Linked DNA regions of Callithrix jacchus. The protein of the gene in region 1 interacts with the protein of each later gene in a pairwise test. Links are inferred from orthologs where the notes say so. Each region holds a gene or a part of one and is shown in the gene's direction. Other genes may lie near its edges. The genes, in order: WASL, RNF8 and RHOJ.

Region 1 (10,201 bases):
TTTTAGAAATTTAGGCAGCACTTTATGAAAAAATTAATATGCAAGTTTAAAATAGAAATAATTTATGATAAAGTGATCCTACTTCAGGAAATATATTTACATTCTGAATTGTGGTTAGATATAATTGTTATCTTAAATTATATCACTTTCATATTATTTTGGTTTTATTTGCAGGTCCTAATCTACCCATGGCTACAGTTGACATAAAAAATCCGGAAATCACAACAAATAGATTTTATGGTTCACAAGTTAACAACATCTCCCATACCAAAGAAAAGAAGAAAGGAAAAGCTAAAAAGAAGAGATTAACCAAGGCAGATATAGGAACACCAAGCAATTTCCAGTAAGACAGTTCTTTTGTTTTCTCTTCTGATTTATTCATTGCTGCTCTTGATTTTTAACTTGTTAAAAGATTTTCTTTTCCTTTTGGGAGGGGACGTACATTTAACACTTGAATAGCTTTTTTTTTTTTGAGACGGAGTCTCGCTCTTTTTACCCAGGCTGGAGTGCAGTGGCGCAATCTCGGCTCACCGCAACCTCCGCCTCCTGGGTTCAGACAATTCTCCTGCCTCAGCCTCCCCCCGAGTAGCTGGGATTGCAGGTGTGCGCCACCATGCCCAGCTAATTTTTTTTTTTTTGTATTTTTAGTAGAGACGGGGTTTCACCATGTTGACCAGGATGGTCTCGATCTCTTGACCTCGTGATCCACTCACCTCAACCTCCCAAAGTGCTGGGATTACAGGCGTGAGCCACTGCACCCGGCCTTGAATACCTTTTTAGCTATGCACTTGGTTAGCGTTTTTGTGTGTATGTGTTTTAAGGCAGTTACTCAATAGACGTTCTTTGTACCTTACAGTTTATTTACTTTTTCAACTATCAGAAAAGAAAAATTAGATGAAGTTGTTTCTTCAGCTAATTGTTGGACATAAAAATGATTTCTCACTTTGCTCTATAAATAGCACTTAGAAATTGTCTACTGATACTGCCTAGGAGCAGTAAAAACCTCTGGTATTTATATAATATATTTCAAGAAGTTCAATATGCATTATTTTATTCGCTCATTATGAAACCCCTATCCTCTCATATATGTAATGCTTGGACTCTTGTGCTAATTTGACAGTTAAGGAAATAGATGCTCAGAGAGACTGTACAAAAATTTTAAGTTTCAGGCTGGGCGCGGTGGCTCACGCCTATAATCCCAGCACTTTGGGAGGCCGAGGCGGGTGGATCACAAGGTTAAGAGATCAAGACCATCCGGGTCAACAAGGTGAAACCCCATCTCTACTAAAAATACAAAAATTAGCTGGGCATGGTGGTGCGCGCCTGTAGTCTCAGCTACTTGGGAGGCTGAGGCAGGAGAATTGCTTGAACCCAGGAGGCGGAGGTTTCGGTGCGCCGAGATCACGCTATTGCACTCCAGCCTGGGTAACAAGAGGGAAACTCTGTCTCCAAAAAAAAAAAAAAATTTTTAAGTTTCAATTAGTAGCAGAGTCAGGGCTAGAATCCTGTTCTTCTGACTTTTTGTATATAATAGTTTTTATCATAATATGGTTATGTTTGTGAGAACTATTAGTTCAGGCCAAAACTTCAAAGCCAAATATAGATTGAATTTCATATATATTGTGTTTATAATGCCCTTTGTGAATTTAGTTTTCTATTTTTTTCTATTTTCTACTTTAGGCACATTGGACATGTTGGTTGGGATCCAAATACAGGCTTTGATGTAAGTATGTTTTCAAGTCATATACATTATAACTCTAAATATATGGAGCTATATTGGCCTAGATTTTTATTTTTATTATTCGTTTTGGGGTTTTCTAGTATCTATTTGAATGTGCGTGTGTTTTGTGTATATATACAACTGAGGTTTAAACCCATATTATTGTTATGTCATTCATGGCTAAGTCTCTATAAAGACTTGGACCAAGGTTTTGTGTACCTTGGCTTTATACACTGTATAAATAAAATCCTTGTGCTTTGAAAGCCAAGAGAAGAAAATCATTTCTGCTAAGTAATAATTTCAGGGGAATGTATGCCAAATTGCTAGAAAGGAGTACAATCAAATTCTGAGTATTCAGTTGTTGAATTACCTAGATTTTTTTCATTCTCCTATTCTTTTTGGCAGTTTTGCCATTGCTTTATAGAGCTGTGAAACTGCTGGCAAAAATTAATCAGTTTGGATAAATTATTTTAAAGAGAAATTTGTTTTGTGATTGGAGTAAAAAATCCTCTTGGTTATTTTTGTTATAGCTACAATGTTAACTCTACAAACATACTGAGCACCTCTTTGTGCTGGGCATTGTGCAAGATGCTTGGAATTACAGGAAGATCCTTGCTCTCAGATTTTCTAATTAATTTACTTTTTTTGTGTTTATTCCTAATTTTACATACTTAGGACAAGGTAGAATAGATGAGCATTGGAGATGTCTGAATTATGAATAGACTAATAGAAATCTAAATGACATGCCTTTTTTTTGAAGGCGAGGAACAAAAAAGAACAAAATAGGAAATCTATCTGTTCAGTTTTTTTAAATAAGATCTTTTAGTTAGCATGTAAGTAATCATGTTAAAAGTTTATAAAGGTAAAATAATTTCATAAGGACACAGATGAGCCTTAAAATTAGGTTTTTTTTTTAAATTGAGATATATTTTTATAGTTAGCAGTTATCTTCTTTTGTAGTTGAATAATTTGGATCCAGAATTGAAGAATCTTTTCGATATGTGTGGAATCTCAGAGGCACAACTTAAAGACAGAGAAACATCAAAAGTTATATATGACTTTATTGAAAAAACAGGAGGCGTTGAAGCTGTTAAAAATGAACTACGAAGGCAAGGTAACATATTTCTATCAGCATTCTGTTTGGTTTTGTTTTAATCTTTTGAGGTTGGTTTCATGGAAAACAGGTACATTCATATATATATGAACCCTTCCTTGAGCAGAATGTTTAAGTTTATGAAAAACTGATTTGGCCCATCATACTATATCTTAACATTATTTTATTAAAACTAAAAAAATTTGTAAGGTTTTGCTTATTAAGTACTTATAAAAATCCATACAAAATCTTCCAGCTTTTCTATTTTAAAGTAAAAACTTACAGTTGCCTAAATGTTTTACTTAAGGAATACTGTAAACCACCAGATTTCATTGTAATTCAGAAGTAGTAATTTAAATATAATTACTTTCTAATTAGTAATATAAACATTTTCAGAATATAAATAATATAAATATTAATTTTGAAATACAAATTCTTTTTCTTGGATAAAGTATAAAATTTTCTTGTGTATCTGAGAGCACAATTTACAACCTTTTAAGATTTGATATCTTTTGAAGTACCTTACGTTTTAGTTTTGTCTTAATAATTATCACAGTAAAATGCAGATAAAATACTCTAAATTTTCCAATATAACAGTCATCTTTTTCCTACCTTATTCATTTAGGACTGCTTTCTTTTCTTCTTTTTGCATACTCACAATACTGTAGTTGAGTAAAAGCTCTAGTTAAAACATTCTTCTAAAAAACTTAACTCATTTTAAATTAGGCATTTGGTTTACTTGTGTCTTTTTCCCTGCCAATGTTCATTTAATCTTTGATTCATTGATTGACTCATATATTTTGTAAACATTATTATGCCAGTACTGGTCTCAGGATATTTAGATGTAAAGATAAGGTTTCTGTCATAAAAAATCTTAAGAGTCTCATATGGAAACCAATACGTAAATGAGCATAAGATCGTAATTGGTATTGTGGAAACACAGTGCTAGTTCCACTGAAACTAGCATGATGCTAATTTACTTTGCAAAAAATCTATCTCCAAATACTGTGGTGTTTTTTTTTTTTTTCTTTGGAGACACCGTCTTGCTCTGTCATCCAGGCTGGAGTACAGTTGTGCCATCTTGGCTCACTGTAACCGCCACCTCCTGGTTTCAGGTGATTCTCACGCTTCAGCACCTAAGTATCTGGTATTATAGGTACATGCACTACCACACACCCCACTAATTATTATATTTTTAATAGAAACAGAGTTTTGCCCGGTTTGCCAGGCTGGTCTCAAAGTCTTGGTCTCAAGTGATCCTCCTGCTTTGGCCTCCCAAAGTACTGGGATTACAGCCATGAGCCACCACACTCAGCCAAGTTTGTTTTCCTATTCTATCTTAACATTTCCACTTATGTAGGCTAAGAATGCTAATATCATTACTACTAGAATAATAGTAATTTTTGTTGATAACTTTAATTTTGCAGTATATAGAAATTCTCAGTTAATTTGTTAATTATCTGTTCATGTCTCTTGAATAAGCAATTAAGCATTTCAGCCAAGCAACCAGCCTCCCATAGTGCCATTACTAGAATTGCAGACTATTTTTAGACATTATACTATAAAAGTACAAATGTAAATTAGATGACAAACGCTTACATTTTGAAAGAAAAGTATTATATTTGGGCTTTAGCTCAGATTAATGTGAATGAATGCTATTAAGTTATGCTACACTATGTAATTCTAAATGAATTGATTTTATTTAATAAAAACTAAGTGTACTTGATTCTTTTTAAAGAGGGTGGTATTCATTTATTTTTATTAAAATGCAAAATAATGCTGATTAACAAAATGTTTAATTTCATTGGTGTATTTTCATTGTAAGTTTGTAAAGTAGAAAGTGTTTATTCTCCTTCAGAACTAATACTGATTCCTAAAAAGTAAACTGTTCTGTTTTAGCTCATATTATTTTTAAGCAACAATAAGAAAGTGATCTTTAGGCTGACAATTCTCAAACGAAATTGTGAGATCATCTGTGCTCAGGTATCTTTGTAAAATAAAATGTGAAGATGAGGCCCTTTTATGATATTATTTGGTTTTTATACATGTTAAAAATGAATTGCTTTTCAGTGTGGTTTTTGAGAGAAGAAAAATACATGTCTTCTTTTTTTCTGTTTGCATTTCAGCTCCACCACCGCCACCACCATCAAGGGGAGGGCCACCGCCTCCCCCTCCCCCTCCACACAACTCAGGTCCTCCTCCTCCTCCTGCCAGGGGAAGAGGCGCTCCTCCTCCACCACCTTCAAGAGCTCCCACAGCTGCACCTCCACCACCGCCTCCTTCCAGGCCAAGTGTAGCAGTCCCTCCACCACCACCAAATAGGATGTACCCTCCTCCACCTCCAGCCCTTCCCTCCTCAGCACCTTCAGGGCCTCCACCACCACCTCCATCTGTGTTGGGGGTAGGGCCAGTGGCACCACCCCCACCACCTCCACCTCCACCTCCGCCTGGGCCACCGCCCCTCGCTGGCCTTGGTCTGTCTTCTGACGGGGACCATCAGGTTCCAACTACTGCAGGAAACAAAGCAGCTCTTTTAGATCAAATTAGAGAGGGTGCTCAGCTAAAAAAAGTGGAGCAGAACAGTCGGCCAGTGTCCTGCTCTGGACGAGATGCACTGTTAGACCAGATACGACAGGGTATCCAACTAAAGTCTGTAAGTAAGCTTTTTTTTTTTTTTTAAGATCATCTGTGATAATGGAATTTTAAAGTAGTTTATTGAAAGACATTTTTGAAAGTTTATACTTTATTTTTCTCTTGCTAATTTATTCTTATCACTATAAATTTGAAAATATTTTTACATGCAATAACATGCATAAATTTTTAGTTCAGCTTTGATACATCTCTATAACCATGTAAGCCATATCTCTAAATCCAAATATAGGACATTTCTATCACCCCAGAAGGTTTTCTCATGCCTCTTCTCAGTTAATTTTTCCATAAACAATCACCGATCTAAATATAGATTAGTTTTTCCTATTCTGGAACTTCATAAAAATGGAATTTTATTGTATGTTTGCAATTCATTGTTCTAGACTTTACTTTCTAATAAAAGGTACTTTAATGAAAAATCCTTATTAAGCTCTGAGAATTAAAAATAGCCCTACTTGAAACCAGTTGCAATCACTTTAGGAAACCTAAACTAGTGATCATGTTCTGAAGTTTTCATGTTCTAAAATTTAGATTAGTAGAGAATCAGACTCACAAAAATTGAAAGAGTTTTAGTAGAATTTCTGACAGTGATGGCAAATAAATTTAGGATTATCTGATTTGGATGAGATAACCATTTAATTTTACAGGTCATTTAATCTTCTAGAGTTCAGCAAACATTTTTCTGTAAAGGATCAGGTAGTAAAACTTTAGGTTTATATAGACAATATGGCCTCTTGTCATGACCACTCTGCCTTTTTACTACAGAAGCATTACAGCCAGTACCTAAATGAATGGACATGCTTGTGTTCTATAAAACTGTATTTGGATACTGAAATTTGAATTTTATATAACTTTCACATATAAAAAGTACTCTTTTTATTTTCTTTGAACCATTTTAAAATGTAAATTCAATCTTAGTTTTTAGATTGTTAAAAAAAAAAAAGTCAAAGAACAGGCTGGATTTGTCCCATGGGCTCCAGTTTGCTGACTCCGTCCCATCCCATAGCCTAACCTGTCTACATTTACATACTTACTTTGGAGTCTTTTATAACTGTTCTCCAGGACTTCAGGCAGGTCATGGACGATAGACTTTTCTGTGAAGTAAACAGAGACGACAGAGGACGTTTTAATAGAAAATTATTTTCCAGTGTAGGGATTAAGGTAACTTTCTAGATCTAAGAAGCTTTGTCTAAAAGGAGAGTGATAGATAGGAAACACACTAATTGAACGAAAACATGTAAACATTAGCATAGATTTAAGAAGACTCTGATCTTTAAAATATATTTAGATCTTTTCTTTGCATGTATTCAGGATGACAGTTAAATAAATCTATAAACAATCATCTCTGTTCTCTTTCCCCATTTTGATCAGACTAAAGGTCTCTCAGAAGCAGTTGATGAACTTTAAAGAGTGGTTAGTGGGGAGAATTAATGTCAAAGTGACCACAGCCAGCTGGGTCCGGTGGCTTATGCCTGTAATCCCAGCACTTTGGGAGGCTGAGGCGGGCCTATCACAAGGTCAGGAGATCAAGACCACCCTGGCTAACATGGTGAAACCCCATCCCTACTAAAAATACAAAAAATTAGCTGGGCATGGTAGCACATGCATGTAGTCCCACCTACTTGGGAGGCTGAGGCAAGAGAATCGCTTGAACCCGGGAGGTGGAGGTTGCAGTGAGCCAAGATCATGCCACTGCACTCCAACCTGGGTGACAGAGTAAGACTCAGTCTCAAAAAAAAAAAAAAAAATGACCACAGCCCAGCTTTTACCTTGGAATCTGTGCTAGTTCCTATGTCACTCTCATTCCTATGTCTCCCACTTTTTGTTTTCCCTTTTCTGTTTCCTTTTTATAACCAACTTTTGTTTCTTTCGCTCATTTAGCTATAATAAGGTGATTTAAAATTTTTAATGAATAAAGTTGTATCTTCACTTACTTTGAAAAGTTAAGGTTAAATTTTCTATTTACTTTCTCCAATCCCAAAGCTTGCTTTCTTTCCCCCCAAAAAAACCTGTTAATATCTTTTAGAAAGAAAAATATTTTCTATTCTACATATTGGATAGGGGGCCGTTTTTATCCTAAATAATCACTTTCCTTTTGATTGCATTTAATGCAACCATAGAGTGCATAATCAGTGAACTATTGGCATGATATACATGTAATCTGAGTTCATAATTATTTTTTTATAAAGATCATTTTGTGGTTGAAATTTATGTGGCTATGTTTTCTTTAAGTAAGTCATCAATTTATTCTGTGATGAATATGATTAACATAAAACATAGATTAAAGAGCTAGTAGGAAGTATAAAGTACTCACATATGTTTTAAATTCCCTGGTTTCAGACCTCAAATAGTACCTTGTTCAAGTAAGTACTTCAAAAAATATGTTTGATTAGAGTGTGCTCACCTCTGATGTGTGCTATTTGCTTTACATTATCCCATTGCTTAAAGGTAGTCTAAATGTCCCTATTGCTGTTGTGCTTCAAGAGCCTTGTGCAGAAATACAAAACTCTGAACTGTTATCTTTTTCATTTGTGGTACTTCTGTATGAGAAATAGTTAATACATAGTCTTTAAAGCCAAAATACTAAGTATAGAGAATCTGTATCTTAGGGGGAGCCACTTTGAATTTTTTTAAAAAAAGGTGTTTAGTCCAAAAAGAACAAGGAGTATTCGAGGAAGAGTTGTACAGATCAAAATGAAAAGTTGAATTGTCTTTGAGAAATGATTAAGAATTTCAAATATATATAAAAAATTTTTAATATATATAAAAACATATAAAACATAGATAATCATTTAGTTACAGCTCTGCTGTTTCATCTGTAATAATTCTTTTTTCTTGAATGTACTTTGGCACAGTAAGTTAGGGACCGTTAGTTGCCTAGTGAGGCAGATATATTTTGAAAGCTGTTCAATTCATCTCCTAAAAAGGAATTACATACTATGAGAAAAGAGGTTCATTTTGAAGGTATAAGTATAACGTAAAGGTATAAAGCTGATTTTTTTGTAGGCAAACATAAGTTTCTACAGTTGTTTTTCAGTATCTCTAGTGTTCTTTCTACATAATAACTCTGGAGTCTAAATAAATAGTACCCTCTCTAAAATGAATTCCCTTGATAATAGCTTTAAAGTTGATCATCTAAGTCTTTATGTGCTGTAATAAACAGAGGTAACCCAGCAAGTATTATTCAGGAAATGGTTTGTTATCTAAATATAAACATAGATTTGGAAATGCATTGTTGGCTTATACATTAAGATGCAAAGGAAATATTTTTGAAGAATATCTTTAAGGCAGCAGTTTGTTTCTTGTTAATTTAATTAATCTTGTCCTGGGCTTGCTAGTTTGATATCTTTTTGTCTTTTACGATAAAAAGTGATTCTAAGAAAGTAAGACTTTCTGGAGACAAAGATTCTTTGCCGAAGATTTATTACTGAGTTTTGCTAACTTTATTTTCCAAGGTGTCTGATGGCCAAGAGTCTACACCACCAACACCTGCACCCACTTCAGGAATTGTGGGTGCATTAATGGAAGTGATGCAGAAAAGGAGCAAAGCCATTCATTCTTCAGGTAGAGAGAGAGAGAGAGAGAGAGAGAGAGAGTGTGTGTGTGCACATGTGTATTTAATAAATTCAAATGTTTGAAGTTCAATTTTTTTTTTAATTTTATGACTGTCTTTGCTAGCTTTCTGCTAATAGAGTAACTACTGATGTGGAGTCTAGGGTGTATCTTAAAAGTTGTTGCCTCTTTGACTAGTCTGTCTGAAACTTGACACAGCCATAGCCATAAATTGAAAGAATAGCTTTGGGAAAATTGACACTTTTGTTTCCTGTATCAGGAAATGCTCAAAAACTTTCTACCAAACCACTGCTAAACAGAATTTGAGATTTTTAGATTTCATTCCTGTGATATTACTATGACATAAAAAATTCAGGCGCTTTACCTCATCTGTGAGGATTAGAGCTAAGAATTTATAATTTTCACTGTTTCTAGAGTTTGCTAAAGAATACTAACTTTTCTTAAACCTTTATCATTTTCTAAACGGTTATTTGAATAAACCAGTACCTATTTTGAGGTTATTACTAAACATACACATACCATCATAGAAATGAATATTGCTTTAAAGAAAGAACAAGGATATGGGCTTTGCTGATTGGAGTGTTTGCGGTTTGCAAAATAGCTTTTCCAACATGATGTGCTAGAGTCAGATCTTACTAGATTTATTTAATCTCTGTGAGCCTCAGTTTCTCATTTGTTACATTGAGAGAATTCACAAAGCACATGATAGATGTGAGAATTAAATAGTATGTCACTAATCAGCAGATTGCCTAGCACATAGTAGGTGCTCACTAAATGTTGTCTTCCTTTTCTTTGTTTCTCTGTAAGGATGTGCATGTCTAGACCCTTGAGCAATGTGTGTTTTCCTTGAATAGGCATATTTGTTTCTATCCTGCATTACAGAAATGGAGATAAATATTTACTGTGGAATAATAATAAACTTTAACAAAACAACAGAAATCTCTGCCTTCATGGACGTGCATTAGGTCTAATGAGAGAGAGACAAGCAATAAACAAAGCAAACTAGAAAAACATACAGTATGTTAAGTGGTGACATGAACTAAGGACAAAAGTCTAATAGAAAAGGGAAATGAGTTACAGACTGTTGAGAGGGAAGTTCATTTTGAAATGGGACGATAAAGCCTAACTGAGGTGACATTTGAAAGACTAGAAGTTCAGGAAGTGAA
Region 2 (10,201 bases), on another chromosome or scaffold:
GGCACTGTGAGCAGGATAAAAATTGGTACTGAGATTATCTAGTTTAACCCCTTATGTAGACAGATGAATCTGAGGCCCAGAGAGATAAACTGTCTTGCTCAAGGCCTTCTCTCTAATGAGCCAGGACTTAAGTTTCTCTGCCATGCCCTGTGTCAAATACCAGTAAAGTACATAAGCAATTTGCTATACTGGCTTTATGATGCCACACAAAATTAATTATGCATAATTTGAAATACAGCTGCAAGATTTTGAAGCCTCTGTAATAGTGTATATCAGAACAGCTTAGGGAAAGATGTTTTCCTCATCAGAGTAGTCTGTATGATCATTGGGATTACAATATTATAGAGGTGAGTTCTCTGCTGCTCCTTTTCTTGTGTGCTGTGTAGATGTGATCCACTTACGGGATTAGCAGATTTTTATAGGTTGGGAAGCCACCAGCTGATCAACTTTAGTGCTATTTGAATGTTGACCACAGGAATACAGAGGCAGCCTGTGCAAGGTCAGATCATGACTGCTCCGGGCTCGCTGTCCGGTGTTTGCTTTGTACCCTTCCTTCTAGGGCTGCTGTTACCATGTGATTCTTCTCAGGTCTCAGTAAGGCAGTAGAGAGGAAAGAGAGGTTTCTTAACAACCTGTTTAAACCTTTTAGCTGTGATTGTGAGGTAACTGATTTTTAAGAGAAGCTAGGACTGGGGTATTTTGGTGGAACAATTCTTACAAGTAAATCCCCCCTACCCCTTGCATTTTTCTATTGACTATAGATGCTCCCTTTCTGGCTTCCTTCTGGCATGATGCCATGGCAACCCTCTTTTGCTGATAAGGGACCTGAATTTTAGCTGTAGGACATTATTGCTGTGGTTGTGTTTCAAGTCATTTGTCAAGTCTCTTTCAAGACCTAGGTATTTCTAATAAGTTAAAACTCAGAGCTGCACTCTCTCATCTGCTGGAATGGCCAGAAAGTGAGACTTTAAGTATGGATTTAAAAAATAGCAAGAAATGTGATTTTGGTTTAAAATTGGCTTAAAATACAGAAAAAAAAAAAACCTTGGAGGACAGCTAAGTCTGCACACAGTATGAAGATGGTTCTAGTTGTGTAGGTTTTGGTTAATTCATAAGCTCTTCAGATGGCCCGTCCTTTGTATTGGTATCCAGCTCTTTCAGAAAATTGGTTGTTTTTATAACTCATTCAAAACAGTAAAAAAAAAAAAAAAAAAAAAATTTGGTTGTTTTAAAGTCACAGTATGAAATGCCTTAGAGGTTCAGTCACGTCTTATTTGAGCCTTTCTCATTCTTCCCCTCCTCTCCTGTTGCTTTTCACCTGCTGTGTGGTTATTCCTACCTTTGTTCTTCTGCAGACTCTGGCAGTTGAAGTCTCTGTTGAGTATACTCTTATGTGAACAAACTTTGCTGCGTGGAATAGTTCAGCTTCTGGTCCTCCAGCAACTAGAGCAGTGGTTATCAACCCTGTTTCCAGTTTTTACTCTCATCTGGGGTACTTTTTAAAAATACTGATGGTAGTACAGTAAAAATGTTCCTTCATCAAAAGACACCATTAAGAGAATGAAAGGCCAACTCAGAGAGGAAGATGTTTGCTATACTTTATAGTCAATGAAGGGCTTATCCTGAGGTATATACAGAACTGCAAAGCAATAAAAAGAGATGTGCCCAATTTAAAAATGAGCAAGAGACAAGCGCTTCACAAAAGGTTGTATCCAGTGAAAAGTTGTTCGGCCTCATTAATGAGCTGGGGAATTTTAATTAAAACCATAATGGAATACCTCTGCACATTCACCAGAGTGGCTAAAATTGAAGACTAGTGATGCCAGGTATTGGTAAGGATATGGAGCAATAGAATGCTCTTGCTCTTCTGTTGGGAGTGCAAATTGGTACAACTACTTTGGGAAATTATTTGCCATTATTTATTAACGTTGAACATATATATAGCTCTTGACACAGTGTTTTCACTCCCAGGGAAACAGTACAAATGTCCATCAACAGTAGAATGGATGCATTGTGGAATAATCTTATATTGAAACACTATGCTGTAGTGAATATTAATGAACTATAATACATGGATAAGTCTCACATAACATTGAGTGAAAGAAGACAGAGACAAAAGAATACATATTATATGATGCCATTTATACAGTATGTAAAAACAGGCAAAATTAACGTGCTGTTAAATCTGGCTGGTAGCCACCTTATTGCCAGAGTGGCTGCTGACCAGAAGGAGGCACAGGGGGGTTTCTGGGATACTGATAATGTGGGATTTGTTTTGTTTTTGGCCTCACAGCAGTTAAACTGAGATGTTCATTTTGTGGCTGTTCATCTCGTTGATTTGTGCACTTTTACATTTGCATGTTCCGCCTGAGTAAAAAGTTTCATTTTTTTTTTGAGATGGAGTTTTGCTCTGGTTGCCCAGGCTGGAGTGCAGTTACACGATCTTGGCTCACTACAGCCTCCGCCTCCCAGGTTCAAGCAGTTCTTCTGCCTCAGCCTCCCAAATAGCTGGGATTACAGGCAAGCACCACCATGCCTGACTAACTTTGTATTTTAAGTAAAGACGGGGTTTCGCCATGTTGGACAGGCTGGTTTTGAACTCCTGACCTCAAGTGATTCACCTGCCTCGACCTCCCAAAGTGCTGGGATTACAGGCGTGAGCCACTGTGCCCGGCCGTAGTAAAGAGTTTTTAAAAAGATATTGATGGATACACACTTAATATAACTGCTAAAATAAGACTTGATGATACCAAGTGCTGGCAAGTATGCAGAATAACTGGAACTTCTAAACACTTAAGTGTGAATATAAAATGGCACCTCCACTCTGAAAAACTGGTGATTTCTTTCTTTTTATTTTTTTGAGATGGAGTCTCGCTCTGTTGCCCAGGCTGGAGTGCAGTGGCGCAATATTGGCTCACTGAAACCTCCGCCTCCTGGGTTCAAGTGATTCTCCTGCCTCAGCCTTCCGAATAGATGGGATTACAGGCGCCTGCCACTGTGCCCAGCTAATTTTTGTATTTTTAGTAGAGACAGGGTTTCACCATGTTGGCCAGCCTTGTCTCAAACTCTTGACCTCGTGATCCTCCCACCTCGGCCTCCCAAAGTCTGGGATTACAGTTATGAGCCACTGTGCCTAGTCAAAACTGGTGGTTTCTAAGAGTCAAATATACGCTTGTCCAGTGATTCATTCTCTTTCTCTCCCCCCGCCTTTCTTTTTCCTTCCTTCCTTCCTTCCTTCCTTCCTTCCTTCCTTCCTTCCTCCCTCCCTCCCTCCCTCCCTCCCTTCCTTCCTTCTTCCTTCCTTCCTTGCTTCTATCTTTCTTCCTTGTCTTTTTCTTCCTTTCCTTTCTTTCCTCTCTTTCTCTTTTTTCTCTCTTTTAAGATGGAGTCTTGCTCTTGTTGCCCAGGCTGGAGTACAATAGCGCAATCTCAGCACATTGCAACCTCTGCCTCCCAGGTTCAAGCAGTTGTGCCTCAGCCTCCCAAGTAGCTGAGATTATGGGCATGCACCACCACATCTGGCTAATTTCTTTATTTTTAGTAGAGACAGTGTTTCTCCATGTTGGTCAGGCTGGTCTCGAACTCCTGACCTCAAGTGATCCACCTGCCTCGGCCTCTCAAAGTGCTAAGATTACAGGCATAAGCCACCACGCCTGGCCTAGTGATCCTATTTCTAGGTATTTATCCAAGATTAATGAAAGTTTATGTTCTCACAGAAACTTGTATGTGAATGTTTGTAGTGGTTTTATTAATAATCATCAAAAACTGTTAAGAAAACCAACTAGAGAATGGATAAACTGTGCTCCACTGGTACTTCCTTCAGTATTACTCAGCAATAAAATATAACAAACTGCTGGTAATGCAACAGTGTGGATGAATCTCAGAGGCATTACACTAAGTGAGAGTAGAAAGCCTCAAAAGTGGAGACACTGAGCCGGGCTCGGTGGCTCAAGCCTGTAATCCCAGCACTTTGGGAGGCCGAGGCGGGTGGATCACGAGGTCAACAGATCAAGACCATCCTGGTCAACATGGTGAAACCCCATCTCTACTAAAAATACAAAAAATTAGCTGGGCATGGTGGCGCGTGCCTGTAATCCCAGCTACTCAGGAGGCTGAGGCAGGAGAATTGCCTGAACCCAGGAAGCGGAGGTTGCAGTGAGCCGAGATCGTGCCATTGTACTCCAGCCTGGGTAACAAGAGCGAAACTCCGTCTCAAAAAAAAAAAAAAAAAAGTGGAGACACTGATTCCATTTGTGTTACATTCTGGCAAAGGGTAGAGAACAGATAAGTAGTTGCCTGGGAATGGGGGAAATGTTGAGTTGACTAAGAAGGGTCATTGTATCCTGGTACAGTTTGTATATAAACGTAACTTTTAAAATACTAATAATTAGTTCCTATCTTAGACCAATTAACTCCCTCTGAGGGCCAAACCCAGGCACCCCTCTTTGTTTTAAACTTTCCCGAGTGGTTTTACTGCACACCTCGGCCTCCTAAAGTGTTGAGATTACAGCTGTAAGCCACCACTCCTGGACAGGAAATATTTATGTGTAAGTTATTGTGCTAAGTGATTTACATGCATTATCTTATTCACTCCTCACAGGAACAGTATGAGGTAGGTACCGTACCATCCCTATCCTGCAGACAAAACTGAGGCATGGAGAGGTTAAGTAAATTGCCGAACGCCATGCAGACTGTGAACCTGCATCTGAATCCATAGCTCCAGCTCTTAACCGCTATCCTGTATTGCCTATATACCCCTGTTGGTATTAATTGGGTCGGATCCTACCTGCCATTTGACCCCAGTCAGGATATAATACTCTCTTTTCTTTTGGTTTATGTGTGCTTGCTCTTTCACCAGTGCGTTAAGGAACCACATCCAGAGATAGTATTTGAGCCTACTTCATGGGCCTCACCCTTAGATACTGCTTTCTTTACTAATCGCGTTTTTTCTAGTTTTGGGACATTGCCTCATTGCCTCCAGTTTAGGTCAATAGGAACTATCCAGTTTCAGTTTCCTTTCATGCTATTGTATGTGTTTGAGTAAATTAACCACCAATAATATAGGGTGATTCCTGCCTGTGACGTGGCAGTTCTCTGTGGAAGCATGACTGAAATATAGGTAAAAAGCCAAAGCACTGCTTGAAAAATGCTGTTTCTAAGGATGGTAGTTTATGACTCTTTCTTTTCAGTTCGTTATCAAGAGTTTTCCTTCTGAAAAGGCCAAAGGTTTTACAATAGCAGGAGAGAGATTCTATTAAGAGGATGAAAATCATGAACCTTATTTCTTTCTTTAACTTTTCAGAGTCTAAATGGTGTTTGGCTGAACAGAGAGCGTCTGGAACCTTTAAGAGTCTATTCCATTCATAAGGGAGACTACATCCAACTTGGAGTGCCTCTGGAGAATAAGGAGAATGCAGAGTATGAATATGAAGTTACTGAAGAAGACTGGGAGACGATATATCCTTGTCTTTCCCCAAAGAATGACCAGATGATAGAAAAAAATAAGGGATTGAGAACTAAAAGGAAATTTAGTTTGGATGAATTAGAGGGTCCTGGAGCCGAAGGCCCTTCAAATTTGAAATCCAAAATAAACAAAGTGTCTTGTGAATCTTGTCAGTCAGTGAAATCACAGGGGAGAGGTGAAGTGGCCAGTACACCCTCTGAAAATTTGAATCCTAAGTTGGCTGCCCTTGAGCCAAGTAAGAAGACCACAGGGGCTCCCATTTACCCTGGCTTCCCCAAAGTCACAGAGGCTCATCATAAGCAGAAAGCCTCAAACTCTTCAGCATCTCAGAGCACCTTACAGCTGTTTAAGGTGACCATGTCCAGGATTCTGAAACTGAAAATACAGATGCAGGAAAAACAAGAAGCTGTTAGGAATGTGAAAAAGCAGACCCAAAAGGGGCACTCAAAGAAAATTGTGAAGATGGAGCAGGAACTGCAGGACTTACAGTCCCAACTGTGTGCAGAGCAGGCTCAGCAGCAAGCAAGAGTGGAGCAACTAGAGAAGACTTTCCAGGAAGAGGAACAGCATCTTCAGGTACCACACGGAAGGAAAGGGCAAGAGTGGTCTTCAGGGGTGGGGCAGGCACTTGATGAGCCTCTGGCCAGAGCTCTCAGTTTCTGGGCCAGGTACCAAATTCTGAGCACCAAAGACAGGAAATGGAATGGGAACAGTAAACTTTTGAGATGAGGGAATTGGATTGAGTAAAGGGTTAAGGTTTCTGCACACTGATGAGATCAGGAGCCAGAGTTGGGGTGCTAAGATAGGGTAAAATATCCAGCAGAGCCAGCGAGGACATAACTCATCTCAGGATGCAAAGCTGAGGCAACTCAGAACCAACATGAATTCGGGGGAAGGTTAGGTGAAGGTCAAGATGCCACAAAACCACAGTATAGTCCAATTAAATCAATAGTTGTCTTGACTTACCTATCTTTTCTCTGGGCCAAGGCCAGATCACTTAGTCCCAGGGCAGGTACAGGTCAGCTGGTTCCTTTGCCCTTGTACCTGACACTTTGTTAACTAGAAAGGTTAGTTAACTCTGTAGCTAACCCAGGAGGTAAGAGGCTAAAAAGGCAGAAAATGTTTTTGTTTCTGTTTTGAGCAGCTAGCATGTGATGGGACAGATGCAACGTGGCTGCATTGTTGGGTTGAATGATAAATACCTTCCACAGTGCCAGTAATAGGAAGGTAAAATAATGGCTGTCTTAGCTGTATAAAGGTGAGACCAAATGTGTTCCCATCCCTAACTCATTTGCTTAGATGACATGCTCTTGCACAAAGCTTTAGGCTGGAGCAGATCCTGTCCCTGCCCAAAATGTCATTTCCTATCTGTCAGGAACCACATGTTTTACTCCCACCCAGTGGTTCAGGTAATATTGAATGTCAGAAATTCCCCATTGCTTACTTAGAACTCAGACGGACCAGTCACCATTGAACTGAATAAGCTTTTTCGTTTGGGTTGCTCAGGGTAAGGAACAACCAGGGGTAGTGTTGTCTTATTTCTGAGCAATTTATAAATGTCATTCTGATCTCTGCCATCCCCTTGAACTGGTAGTATTAGCAAAGGCCATGGATTAAATAGGTCTTTTGAGAGTATACACTACTTACTTGTGGGTACTTTTTGCTTCCCTTATTCGGCCTAGACTAGTCCTTGAAATTAATAGAGGCTGGTTTATGTCTACATATTTAGATGTAGACCTTCACATCTTCACTGGGACAGAACTCTCTATAGGCAAGTATGTTCAGGGACAAGTTACTGTTGATTAATATTTGTGGCGGCTCTGGACATGCTTCAAGGTATAGCTGCAAAATCTTTTTCTGTACCAAAATGTTAAAGGCAAAAGGACTGGTTTAGAGAATTTCTCTGGGTATGAATAGGTCATATATTTATTGCTCATAGTGAAGTGTATCTAATCCCTTGTTTATCAGCTACATCTCCCTCTGTCCACCAAGCCCTAGGGATTTATCCTACCCGCTACCACTTGTTTAGAAGTTCATTAAAGTCTTGCTGCTTCACTCACACTTTTTTTTTTAATTTTTTTTTTTTAATTGCATTTTAGGTTTTTGGGTACATGTGAAGAACATGCAAGATTGTTGCATAGGTGCACACATGGCAGTGTGATTTCCTGCCTTCCTCCCCTTCACCTATATCTGGCATTTCTCCCCATGCTATCTCTCCCCACCTCCCCATCCCCTGCTGTCCCTCCCCTATATCCCCCTGACAGACTCCAGTGTGTGGTGCTCCCCTCCCTGTGTCCATTTGTTCTCATTGTTCAACATCCACCTATGAGTGAGAACATGCGGTGTTTGATTTTCTGTTCTTGTGTGAATGATGGTTTCCAGGTTCATCCATGTCCCTACAAAGGGCACAAACTCATCGTTTTTTTATGGCTGCATAGTATTCCGTGGTGTATATGTGCCACATTTTCCCTGTCTAGTCTATCATCGATGGGCATTTGGCTTGGTTCCAGGTCTTTGCTATTGCAAACAGTGCTGCAGTGAACATTCATGTGCATGTGTCCTTATAGTAGAATGATTTATAATCCTTTGGATATATACCCAGTAATGGGATTGCTGGGTCAAATGGAATTTCTATTTCTAGGTCCTTGAGGAATCGCCACACTGTCTTCCACAATGGTTGAACTAATTTACACTCCCACCAACAGTGTAAAAGTGTTCCTATTTCTCCACATCCTCTCCAGCATCTGTTGTCTCCAGATTTTTTAATGATTGCCATTCTAACTGGCATGAGATGGTATCTCAATGTAGTTTTGATTTGCATGTCTCTAATGACCAGTGATGATGAGCATTTTTTCATATGTCTGTTGCCCTCATATATGTCTTTTGTAAAGTATCCATTCATATTCGTCGCCCACTTTTGAATGGGCTTGTTTGTTTTTTTATTATAAATCCATTTTAGTTCTTTGTAGATTCTGGATATCAGCCCTTTGTCAGATGGGTAGATTGCAAAAAATTTTTACCATTCTGTTGGTTGCCAATTCACCCCAATGACTGTTTCTTTTGCTGTGCAGAAGCTGTGGAGTTTGATTAGGTCCCATTTGTCTATTTTGGCTTTTGTTGCCAATGCTTTTGGTGTTTTGGTCATGAAATCCTTGCCTATGCCTATATCCTGAATGGTTTTGCCTGGATTTTCTTCTAGGGTTTTTATGGTGTTAGGTCTTATGTTTAAGTCTTTCATCCATCTGGAGTTAATTTTAGTGTAAGGTGTCAGGAAGGGGTCCAGTTTCTGCTTTCTGCACATGGCTAGCCAGTTTTCCCAACACCATTTGTTAAACAGAGAATCCTTTCTGCATTGCTTGTTTTTGTCATGTTTGTCAAAGATCAGATGGTTGTAGATGTGTGGTGTTGCCTCCAAGGCCTCTGTTCTGTTCCGTTGGTCTGTATCTCTCTTTTGATACCAGTACCATGCTGTTTTGATTACTGAGGCCTTGTAGTATAGTTTGAAGTCCAGTAGTATGATGCTTCCAGCTTTGCTTAGAATTGACTTGGCTATGCGGGCTCTCTTTTGGTTTCATATGAAGTTTAAGGTGGTTTTTTCCAGTTCTGTGAAGAATGTCATTGGTAGCTTGATGGGGATAGCGTTGAATCTGTAAATTACTTTGGGCAGTATGGCCATTTTCACGATATTGATTCTGCCTAACCATGAGCATGGAATGTTTCTCCATCTGTTTGTGTCCTCTCTTATTTAGTTGAGCAGTGGTTTGTAGTTCTCCTTGAAGAGGTCCTTTACGTTCCTTGTTAATTCTCTTTGTAGCAATTGTGAATGGCACTTCGTTCTTGATTTGGCACTCTTTAAGTCTGTTATTGGTGTATAGGAATGCTTGTGATTTTTGCACATTGATTTTGTATCCTGAGACTTTGCTGAAGTTGCTTATCAGTTTCAGGAGATTTTGGGCTGAGACAATGGGGTCTTCTAAATATACAATCATGTCGTCTGCAAAGAGAGACAATTTGACTTCCTCCTTTCCTATTTGAATACCCATTATTTCTTTTTCTTGCCTGATTGCTCTGGCTAGAACTTCCAATACTATATTGAATAGGAGTGGTGAGAGAGGGAGGGCATCCTTGTCTAGTGCCAGATTTCAAAGGGAATGCTTCCAGTTTTTGCCCATTCATTATGATATTGGCTGTTGGTTTGTCACAAATAGCTTTTATTATTTTGAGATACGTTCCATCAATACCTAGTTTATTGAGGGTTTTTAGCATAAAGGGCTGTTGAATTTTGTCAGAGGCCTTCTCTGCATCAATTGAGATAATCATGTGGTTTTTGTCTTTGGTTCTGTTTCTGTGATGAATTACATTTATAGACTTGCATATGTTGAACCAGCCTTGCGTCCCCAGGATGAAGCCTACTTGATCACGGTGGATAAGCTTTATGATGTGCTCTTGCAGTCGGTTTGCCGTATTTTATTGAAGATTTTTGTATTTGTGTTCATCATGGATATTGGCCTGAAGTTTTCTTTTCTTGCTGAGTCTCTGCCGGGTTTTGGTATCAGAATGATATTGGTCTCATAAAATGATTTGGGAAGGATTCCCTCTTTTTGGATTGTTTGGAATAGTTTCAGAAGGAATGGTACCAGCTCCTCTTTGTATGTCTGGTAGAATTTGGCTGTGAACCCATCTGGACCTGGCTTTTTTTGGGTGGTAGGCTATTAATTGCTGCCTCAACTTCTGCCC
Region 3 (10,866 bases), on another chromosome or scaffold:
CATGTTTAGCTTACAAAATCCAATTTAGAAGAAAACCTAGCAAGATTTTAACTTGCTTTATCACAATTCATGTAATTATAGAGATGCTTTAAGTTTCTCTACTCTCTGACTTTTCTGTCAAGTAGTTTATAATCACAGCTAGCATTTATGGAGTGTTTATAATGTGCTAGGCTGGGTGCCAGGCGCCTTACAGGCTTTGTCTTAATTAATCCTCACAGCAACTCCCTGAGGTGTGTATATTATTATCTCCACTTTTCTACAGGAAACTGAGGCTCAGAGAGGTTAAGATCGCCCAGCTAGAAAGTGGCAGAGTGAGGATATAAAACTGCTTTCCCCACCCACTCTTCTGCCCCCTCCTATAATCTGAAAAGAAACCTTAAGGGTGGGGCTTCTTTTTTATATACTAGAGTCCCTTATTTTTATGTGCAAAGCTCCCCGCAACTTAAAGGCTTTGCAAGTTCAGATTTTTCATATCTGATTATTTCTGTTCAATACTTTTCAATTTCCAAAGCATTTTTCCTCAATCATCTCTTTTTGGTCTCAAAAAGAGATTTTATTTTTAAAGGACATTTTTCTATCAGACATATTTACAATTCTTTGTACTCCAAAGTCAACCATATTTACATAATGTGCATTAATTTATCATAAATATTCATTATTCTTTTACTTGTTTTACCCTCCCTCTTCTTTTTATTACTGTAGTTTTTCATCCTCAGCCTACTTTTCCCATTCTTCTACCCATTTGTAACTGTCCATATTGCTGCTAGATTTATTAAACAACAATTGATTGAACACCTAATACATGCCAGGTGCTATGCCGGGTGCTACACTTTTTAGCTCTAAGATTATAATTCTTTGTGCATTCTCTTCCCCAATTCCATCTAATACAGTCTAAACATGATCTTCCAAGTTCAGACTTCCTAAGGTATTTTTTGATACAGGAATTTACCATTTTTCCTTTTTTAATCTTTGGGTTCTCTTCGTTCTCTCCTACCATCTTCTTCACCCTGTGCCTTTTGTTGTCACTCTTTAACTTAGCAGATGCTAAGTTTCCTGCTGGGGTTGTCACATGCACAGGTGGGATTTAAAGCAGCTAAATTGCTGCAAATATCCTGTCATCAATCAATCAACTGGAGTGTTCAATGCCCTCCTCCTGACTGGAAGAGTCACTGCCACCTGCCTTGTGCTGGCCATTTTCCCTTTGTCTCCTGGTCATTGAAAGTCACTTCCCTGCTGGTATCTGGGTTACAAAGGCCAGAAGAGGAGGGAGACAGGCAAACAAAAGCATGCCACCTGGATGAACACAGTAAAAACAGCTGGGCAATGTACCCGCTAGCACAGAAAAGGGAGAGACTAATACATTCAGAGAAGGAGCTTTCAGAGATTCCTTGAATCAGTTAACATCTTAGCCAGGTTCGAAGGATGAGGAAAAGTTTTTCAGGTGAATAAAGGGATCTAGGGGGGCACAAAATTCCAGGCAGGGAGACCGGGACATGCAAAGCCATCCTTTAAAGCATAGGGAGCAAATTGGCAACTGACCGGCCAAATTTCACCCCCACAAATATCTTGATCAGTCCAAACAGATTTTTTTTTTTGAGATGGAGTTTTCCTCTTGTTACCCGGGCTGGAGTGCAACAGCGTGATCTCGGCTCACCGCAACCTCCACCTCCTGGATTCAAGGGAGTCTCCTGCCTCAGCCTCACGAGTAACTGGGATCATAGGCATGCACCACCATGCCTGGCTGATTTTGTATTTTTAGTAAAGATGGGGTTTCTCCATGTCGGTCAGGTTGGTCTCGAACTCCCGACCTCAGGTAATCCACCTGCCTCAGCCTCCCAAAGTGCTGGAATTACAGGTGTGAGCCACCACAGCTGGCCCAAACAGATATTTTTTATGCAATTTAGTGGCCTGCATTTAACAGTTTGGAAACACGTTTCTAGCTTCTAAAAAAATTCAGAAGGTCGAGCAACTCTAGGCCAGCATTTCCTCATCAACAGAAACTTTTAATAGCTTACTATATCCATGACAACTTCGCCCTTGTGTTCATTGATTTTGCTCTTTCAGCCACAATTTCTTAACGTTGGCTAGAGACAGCCCAAAAGAGTAGTTAAGACTTTGGCTCAGGAGGCAGACAAATTCTAATCTCTGCCATTTTCTTAGTGGGGTGGCCATAACAGGGGTTACTTAGCCTCCCTGGGCATCAGTTTCCTGAGCTGTGAAATGAAGATGGTGATAGACTTTTCCTTGCACAGTTCTTGTGACAATGAAATTAGCTCATGTACCACTAGGTCCAGCTCAGCAAACTACAGTTGGTGTCAAATCCATGAGCCCTCTCAGACATGGCTACAGCTAGGAAGATCTCTTTGCCTAGATCCCTTCCAGTTACTTTCTGTCTTATTCTATAACTTGTCCTGGCCCCCAGTGGAACAATACGGAAGAAGTACTAAGTTTTCTTTTACTTGATTAGTCATTATGTTTGTTTTTTTTTAATTTCTCATCAGACTCTTGTATCTTCTGTACATCACTGATAAATTTCCCTCCTTTTGAGATAATAAGTGTTAGCTATTATAAAACAATCAAAAAAGTGTTTTTTTCCGTTTATATCCTCAATCTCTACTTGTTTCTTGAAAATAAGTCATTTGGGTAGAACACTTTCCAGATTGCTTGCATGTGTATCTGAACGAGGAGCCTCGAATCCTGAACCCTCCCAGATGGCTTCTAAATACTTGACTGTGTAGGTCGCCACATTTCCTTGAGACCATTTTTCATTTCACATCTTTGAGGGCACAGAAAATTTTTTTAGCAATCTGGCTCTGCTTTTTCCCTGAACCAGGATGAATTCTTCTCTGACCCTTAGAGAACTCGACACATGGTAACAATACCTACCTCATAACTCGGTTCTGTTTCTTCACACGTTTCCCAAATCACAACCATAACCCGATGACTACTTTTTCTATCAGCACAACATAATGTTATATTAACCCAGTTAGACAATAATGCCTTTATCTGCTATTTTATTGTCTTCAGAAATGTCTGAATTAGAAGAGACAAGTTTGGGCTACTCCTGCTCCATCGAAAGGCAAAGCCTGGCATGCTGTCAGGAGCACTCTGTGGGGAGGAGAGTGGGGAGTGCCCTGCTTCTCCTGCGGGACTCCAGGTGTGAACGAGCTCAGCCCAGCTGTCCTGGAATTCCAGGCAGAATCAATCCTAGGCTTGGGATCCTTAGTGGAGAGGTATTCCAGACAGAAAGGTGCCACAGCACTTTCTAGGTATTTTTTCAGCATGACTGACAAGTGCCACCACATTACAGTCAAGTTGGAGTCACTTAGATGAGCATGCTTTTCATGTGTGTTTGAATCAAGCATTGAACACAATCCCAAAACGCAACAGAATGCATTTCATCATGTTATTAGGAAATTTTTCTCTGCCCTTTATTCTTCTCTTGTACCTAACTGGTTTTAATTATTTTTAAAAGTTATTTCCTAATCTGGAAACCAAACCATGGTCAAAATGAAAGCCGTAAAATAGATTTTCAACATACAACATCTTTTCTTTTGGCATTTAATACAGTAACCACTCTGGTCAGAAAAAAAATGTAAAGTGCATAATCTCTGTCAGAGAGGTTAGGAAATAGTCTCTGGGCCCAACCAAAACAACTCTATTTGATGCTTAGTTTTCGTATCTGTGGCCTTTGAAATAAGTAGACAACCTCATTTCATCAACTGTCAACTAGACCAGCTTCTTGCAGAGCTGAGTGATAGGGGTCACAGTTACTGTCACGGAGCAAGGAAAAGAACATGTATCAAGAGACCCAGATTCTAGGTCTGTTTCTTTCACTTTCTGGTTGTGCCCATAAGCAATTCATTTTACCTCTCTGGGGTTATTCCCACTCCATTCTAAGGTGAAGCACAAGCATATTTAGTCCACACATTGCAAACTGGCTGGCTGCTGCCGAATACATCCCACATCACGTCTTCCTTGGCTCATGGTAAATATTTTATAAATTGGTAAATATTAAATTTAAAAATCCAAATTTCGAACTCCTCTTGAAAAATACAAAAATGGGCAACAGTGAACCAACATTACCACTTGGAAGCTAAGTAAGGCTGCACACTCTAGAGGGGGTGTGCGTGCAACAACCCACCGTAGTCCCCACCTCTATATATTCTCTTGCACCAGCCCCACTTTATCATTTACATAAGCTAGTGGACAGGATAGGTCTGTGATTTTGCTACCTTGTTTTAGCCATTTGTCTGCTGTGCTTTCTGGGAACTCACCATTTAGCCAACCTCTGCTGAATCTGCTTTAATTTTTCAAAGTTTTTCTTCAAATGTAAATCAAAAAATAAAGTCATTTCTCCAGGTGTCCTTAATAGTAAAAGGCCAACCTCACATTGTTGCCTCTTCCTGAGCTTATGAACAATTAAAACCTCAGGTCTCCTGCACAAGAAGCTGACTACAAATATGGTCTGTACTGGTCTGTGATTTTTAGATGAGAATCTATAGTTCTAACCTGAACTTTTGTATTTCTCAGGAGGTGTTTGTGATTATTAAACACACCATAGTATAAAATCATCCAAATATTGAAAATGAAGTTCTGTGCAAGTATGAAATACTTTATCATTTAAACATATAGACTGTACACTGACAAGAAGGATGCCTTTGGCAGTAAATGTATTTATGATTATTGTTATGTTTTATTGTTATCGTTACATGTTTTATTGGGTTTTTATAACCTTTTAAAAACTATGCCTTTTAAAGTATGTTAAGGCTGAGCGTGGTGGCTTATGCCTATAATCCCAGCACTTTGAAAGGCTGAGGCAGGCGGATCAGCTGAGGTCAGGAGTTCGAGACCAGCCTGGCCAACATGGGAAAACCCCATCTCTACTACAAATACAAATACTAACCCAGCGTGGTGCTGCATGCCTGTAATCCCAGCTACTCGGGAAGCTGAGGCGGGAAAATCCCTTGAACCCAGGAGGTGGAGGTTGCAGTGAGCCGAGATGGTGCCACTGCACTCCAGCCTGGGCGACAAGAGTGGAACTCCATCTCAAAAATAAATAAATAAATAAATAAATAAAGTATGTTAAAACTAAATAATAATGCCAATTAGATATTAGTTTATTGAGGGATACCTTTAAAGAGGTACAGTTAAATCAAGAATGACCTATAAAACTATTATCACTCGCTCTCTTTGTAGCCGCTCTATCAACCAAGCTGACACTTTGCCTTTTATCACACCAAAGGAGATATATTTCACTTGTACATGATTTACATGTTCTGCCTACAAATGAGAGAATATGAAAAACAAGATCATGCAGCCCTGTTCTTCACAAAACATATTGAAATTATATCATCGGTTTTGAATTCTCTCCTAATTTTTTAGATCCTCTTATTTTTTATATTATTAGGAATAAATGGCTAGGGATCAATTTCATGACTCACTGCTTTCCAGAAGTGATCCACAACCATTTATTGCTAATAAAGGAATGTAAAAATACAAAAATACAATAAAATAGGATGACAGGTACAAATTGAAATGCAAAAAAAAAAAAAGACAAACATAATCCAAACCACCCACAGGCTGTTTGTAGGACAGGCAGAAGTAAGTGCTTGTCTGGGCGGTGGGTTGATACCACCATGCTTTTCTCTCTGTTTTTCCTCTCATGCTTCTCTCTCTTTTCTGTTTAAGATCGGAGCACAGTGCTACTTGGAATGCTCAGCTCTGACTCAGAAAGGTCTCAAAGCCGTTTTTGATGAAGCCATCCTCACCATTTTCCACCCCAAGAAAAAGAAGAAACGCTGTTCTAAGGGTCACAGCTGCTGTTCAATTATCTGAGGTTGTCTGAGACCTGCCTCCACCCCATCCAGGGGTGAGAATGGCAGCCAATCTCTGCGGCCAAGCTCCAGCCAAAAAGGAGGGCATGACCAGAAAGGAATTCCCTTTGCACGGAGGACTGCTCCGCCACCCTGGGAGCCCTCCCAACACCACACTCGTCAGCCCACTGCCACGACCTCCCTGCCAGCCAGAAGCATCCGTACTGCACACTCTCCGAGAATGCTGGGCCTGGATTGCAGACAGCGCCACTGCTGACCGTGTCAAAAACAAAGCCAAAGGCCTTCTTACATTTTCCATCTCCCCGCTCATGAATGTGAAGCTGATAGGAAACCACCCCAGGGAACCAGAAAAACAAACTTGGTTCCTCTATCGGTGGTCTTACTTGATGTCTTTTACAAAACTTGGGACTATAACGCTAACCATTTTTTTTTTTTCTGAATCTGTTCTACCCACATGTCTCACATTCATTTGTATTATTTCAAGAAATGTACTAATTTCCAGTTTACTCAGGCCTTACAAATCCATACCAAATCAGCCTAAAGACAAGGCGTTTTATATTCATTTCTATTTTCAGCATGTTTCTACCAAAGCTATGAGAACCAACACATACCTCTGAATGCCTGATTATAAGAAGACATGAGAAGACTTTAAAACTTCTGGAAATTTACAGAGCCATGATTTTTGAACTGGATTGAAAAAAGCCATCTGAATTGTTGCAGGTCCACATTTTTGCCAAAGATGCACTCTGAAAATGCTTATTAGTGGTCTGACTTTTTTCCATATTATATTGCCATGACAAACTAAAAATGAACTGTGTTTAAGAATGTAGTATTTCTGGTTTTCATCCAAGTTGATTGGGGGAAGAATATGCAGGATCCATCTTTTACAGTACTGTTTATTCAGTAAAGTGGACGTTCCTGCTCCTCCCTTTCCCCATTGCATGCCTTCTTCCTCCCTTGATTTCACTTTTTCTCATGCCCAGATCCTTGTGTTCTCTCCAATTGTAACTCAGTTATAAAAGAAAGATCTGAGCATAAAAACACATGTTTAATAGCACCTAAAGGTTAAGGAAAGTGCCTTAATTTTTCTATTTGCTTCAACCAAAAGTGCTTCTCAGCTTGCCTCATGTAAGTTCTCATTTCATTCCATGTAAATGACATTTTCCAGTTACAACTGGTACTGAGATATTGCCTCTCTCTTTCCTTACTCATCCTCCCAAATGTCTGTTAGGGAGCCATATCCGTGGATACCAAGCTCCATATCCATTTGTCCCCTGCCCTCCACAATGTGTGACATAGAACAGGGACGTGGCCCTGGGAAAGCAAAAGCTCCCAGTAAGGAATCCTGTGCCCAATTATGTGAAACAATTCGAAACATCTAGGAATTTTTGTATCATAGAGCCAATTACTTCCTACCTTGTCATTAGAGGCTATGAGGGCTTCTAATTAGTCTTAGTTGCTTATAAGTGCCCTGAAATCACCCAAGTAGGCACTTAATTTTTTTTCAATTGCATGAGCAAAGTGCTTCTTAGTGGTATGAAATTACAACAATTTTAGTTTAAGACTTTCCAGATTCAAGCTCCCACTGTTGGAAAAAGCCAGTCTTTCTAATCTCTTCTGCTACTGGAGTAAGCACATGAGAATTACATGCTAGCCAGGCACAGTGGCTCATGCCTCTAATTCCAATACCTTGGGAGGCTGAGGTGAGTGGATAGCTTGAGCTCAGGAGTTCAAGACCAGCCTGGGTAATATAGTGAGACTCTGTGTCTCTATAAAATATCCAGGTGTGGTGACACACACCTGTAGTCCCAGCTACTCAGGAGGCTGAGGTGGAAGGATCATTTGAGCCCAGAAGGTAAGGCTGCAGTAAGCCATGACTGTGCCACTGCACTCCAGTCTGGGTGACAGAGCAAGAACCTGTCTCCAAAAAAAAAAAAACCCTACAATTTAAGAACTATTTCCCTTCTTTCCCATCTAATTGCTAAACATTTTCTTTCATACACACACACTCCGCTGACTAGAAAATGGGAGTTTTAAGTCAAAGCTTGACATTTGGAGAAAACAAGGACTTTCTGCCTTTATAAATGGAAATCAACTGTGTATAAACTATAACTCTGCAGAGGTTATGAATTCATCCTTTACAAACAATAATGAGCTTTTAGTCCTGTAATAAATGAAATGTTATTAGGCAGTTTTGTTGCATGATTGCATAGTTACATCTTGCTAACGGGCCACTAATTTCTCATTGATGTGGGTGAAAAATTGAGGGCAGTGTGCTTCCAGGTATATGCACCAAACAGGCAAATAGCTCCCCAGGTCACCACTTCCCTAACGGGCCACAGAAAGTAACTTGATCATGATGGCGAGATCACTCTCTCACCTAGAACCAGCAACTGGATAGAGACTGTTGTTACTGTCTGCATGGAGCACAGGCTCCTAGGGGTCTTAGGAGCTAATCACTGAATAAAACACTCTAGAACAAAGCAATTTAAACGAGTTAATGTTATTCTGCCAAATCAATTAGTTATTCCTTGTTCCACGGCAAGATCCAGTTTGTTTCACTAAAAAGTGTTTTCTGCTACAAGATTAAGCTGTCTTCTGAGACCAAAGATAAGGAGAGACATAGAAATTTGAAGAAGGATCCTTTAATGGCCCACACCATCTTCCGAAGTCAAGAAGTGGCAGCTGATATCCATTTGAAAGTAGAGTCCTAACTTTTCAGAGCTAGACAAGGCCTCAGAAACTATAGTTCAATTCCTCATTGCACCATTGAGAAAGTCAGGCCTAGATGGGTAAAAAGAGGTGTGTTGTAGCAGTGCTGGGACGGATCCCAGTTCTTCTGCTTCATACAGTGCTCTTCAACTCAATACTACAGTGTATTCGTTATCACACATATTAAGCTAGAGTTCTGTTGCCATGTTATTGGAGTTGCGGCTGTTTATCCTGTAGATTTTAGCCACATTTTAAACTCAAAACTTCATGTAGTTAGGCCACTAAAAATAAAGTAATCCATCAAACTGGTAATACACTGGAGAATCTGACCTACACACTAAGATACTGGAAATCCACAGTGTACGGCAATTTAGCCCCCATCTAATAATGGCTCAATCAGGTAGCTAGTTACACATATTGATTTCACTCAAATGGTTGGTTGTTTGGTAGAATGAATGGACTCCTTGGGCTATTTGGGGAACACAAAAGGACTAGGACACAAGTCCACAAAGCCACGTCCACAGTAAGAAATCCCGGCTGATTTCTGCCAAGGAAAGTTACAAAGAATAATTACTTGGTCACGTGGGGAAATTTCGACATAAAAGAAGTAATGGATAAAAGAAAGAAAAAAGAGCAATTGCTGAAGACAGTAACTACAGCAACCCTACACCAGAAAGCACTAAGCCAGGAAGTCCAAAACTAAGTCATAGACATACGACAAGGCGTGGGAGTTGGTCCTGAGACTTCAGTGAGAATACGTCCAATCAGGATGTGCAAAGAGCCATTTGGATGATTTCTAGTTCATAAGAGAAGTACTAAATGAAGTGGATGTGACCATACACAATTTGCACAGGACCCCCAGGAAGGAAATAGTATTACATGGTAGTAAAAAAGCAATCACAACTATACTCACAATTTTAGGAGAAAATAAAACTAAATCCAGAATTTGAAGCCAACAAAAAAATGTCATTATTTAGGGTCAAGTTCCTGTGAACACTACCTTCCAAAGTAGAACATCTTCAAGAAGAAATATTTGACTTGAGGTAAGGCTTTCAAGATTGCCGTTTTACATTCATAAAGGCAAACTCATCCTTGAGGCCAAAGTGATAGAAGATTAGAAATTGAGGCTCTGCTTTAAAGAAATGTTGACATCATGCTGGAAAGTATTATCCAGCTACTTACACGTTCGTTTTTAAATCCATCTCTATGTCTAGCTGCCAAAATGCAAACTGCACATTCTCTCAACAGAGAGCGCCACAGGTCACCAGCTAGTATTCTCCCAGGAGTCATTGAGTAGGCTGTCCAAGTACAAATAGGGAAACTCAACAAACTGTTTTCATTTCAAGGACCATTAGAAACAGAAAGGAAAAGAGAAGGACAGGGAAACTTAGTTTCTAACGAAGGAAGTGAGGCACTTTGAAAAAGAAAATGTTTAGAGAATGGAGAGGAAGCTAAAACCAAACACAGCCCAACCACACAGCTGACAGTTGTTCCGGGAAGTTGGGAACTTCTGCCTGGCCCCTAGAAGCACAGGGAAGAAAGGACTGTTAGTGTGAAGAACACTCCGAGGTTCTGGGTATCCAAGCAGAGTCGGTCAACGGGGCTAACCATGTGATAATCCTGAGTAATTCCACCTCAGAATTCACTAAAAAGCAAGTGGAATCTTGGGCAAAGCCTTTTGGGTCTTTAATAGCAATGAAGGACATCACCCTCTCCCTTTCTCTGCTTATACATACACAGCAGGCAGTCAAGGAAAACTTGCCAAGTAATATGAGTGAATAAATGATTTTGAAAGTCTCATTGAGCAGGAACATGAAGAGGATGATTTGGGGATAGTTGGAAGGATAGTTACTTGTATAAATAATATTAATTCATCTTCAGTGAGATATTTCTAATTAGAAAAAAATTGTACTTAAAATGTACAACCATAGTAAAAAAAAAAAGAAAATACAAGATAAAGCAACAGTTCATGGTGGCGCAACAGTCGACAAAGACCAGAAAGGACATTACAGCACATGTTCTACTCAGCAGCACGTTAGCCCTCCGAAGCTCAGCCAGGCTATTTTGGAGATCTCCTCGGATTAGGGGAGGAATGAGTCAAAGGGGCTTGGCTGCTCTGAGAAATGGTGAGCTCCAAGTTCAACAATAGTTCTTGGCTTTGAAATTTCACTACAGGAAATTAGAGTAAAATCTGCACCATTCATCTTGGACACAATCTATTTTTTTCTCCTTAGAGGATATTATGTCAAAAAACGAGGGTTGCTTCAGTGTGTGCGTGTGTTTTAAGTATGTTCTGCTTTGATACTTTCATTTTGTT

The links.
Region 2: the proteins of WASL (region 1) and RNF8 interact in binary tests that used the Homo sapiens proteins (3 or more experiments, as listed by UniProt). The two-hybrid records come from large-scale screens. The link is inferred for Callithrix jacchus from reciprocal best matches to the Homo sapiens genes WASL and RNF8.
Region 3: the proteins of WASL (region 1) and RHOJ interact in binary tests that used the Homo sapiens proteins (3 or more experiments, as listed by UniProt). The two-hybrid records come from large-scale screens. The link is inferred for Callithrix jacchus from reciprocal best matches to the Homo sapiens genes WASL and RHOJ.

Annotation. Positions count from the first base shown.
Region 1 is NC_133512.1:123,324,293-123,334,493, forward strand, and holds part of WASL (actin nucleation-promoting factor WASL), read left to right. Parts: intron 1-174; coding exon 175-343; intron 344-1,680; coding exon 1,681-1,723; intron 1,724-2,680; coding exon 2,681-2,834; intron 2,835-4,939; coding exon 4,940-5,466; intron 5,467-8,917; coding exon 8,918-9,026; intron 9,027-10,201. UniProt on the Homo sapiens protein: Regulates actin polymerization by stimulating the actin-nucleating activity of the Arp2/3 complex. Involved in various processes, such as mitosis and cytokinesis, via its role in the regulation of actin polymerization.
Region 2 is NC_133505.1:45,703,139-45,713,339, forward strand, and holds part of RNF8 (E3 ubiquitin-protein ligase RNF8), read left to right. Parts: intron 1-5,302; coding exon 5,303-6,040; intron 6,041-10,201. UniProt on the Homo sapiens protein: E3 ubiquitin-protein ligase that plays a key role in DNA damage signaling via 2 distinct roles: by mediating the 'Lys-63'-linked ubiquitination of histones H2A and H2AX and promoting the recruitment of DNA repair proteins at double-strand breaks (DSBs) sites, and by catalyzing 'Lys-48'-linked ubiquitination to remove target proteins from DNA damage sites.
Region 3 is NC_133509.1:97,983,088-97,993,953, forward strand, and holds the end of RHOJ (rho-related GTP-binding protein RhoJ), read left to right. Parts: intron 1-5,691; coding exon 5,692-5,838; 3' UTR 5,839-8,028; downstream 8,029-10,866.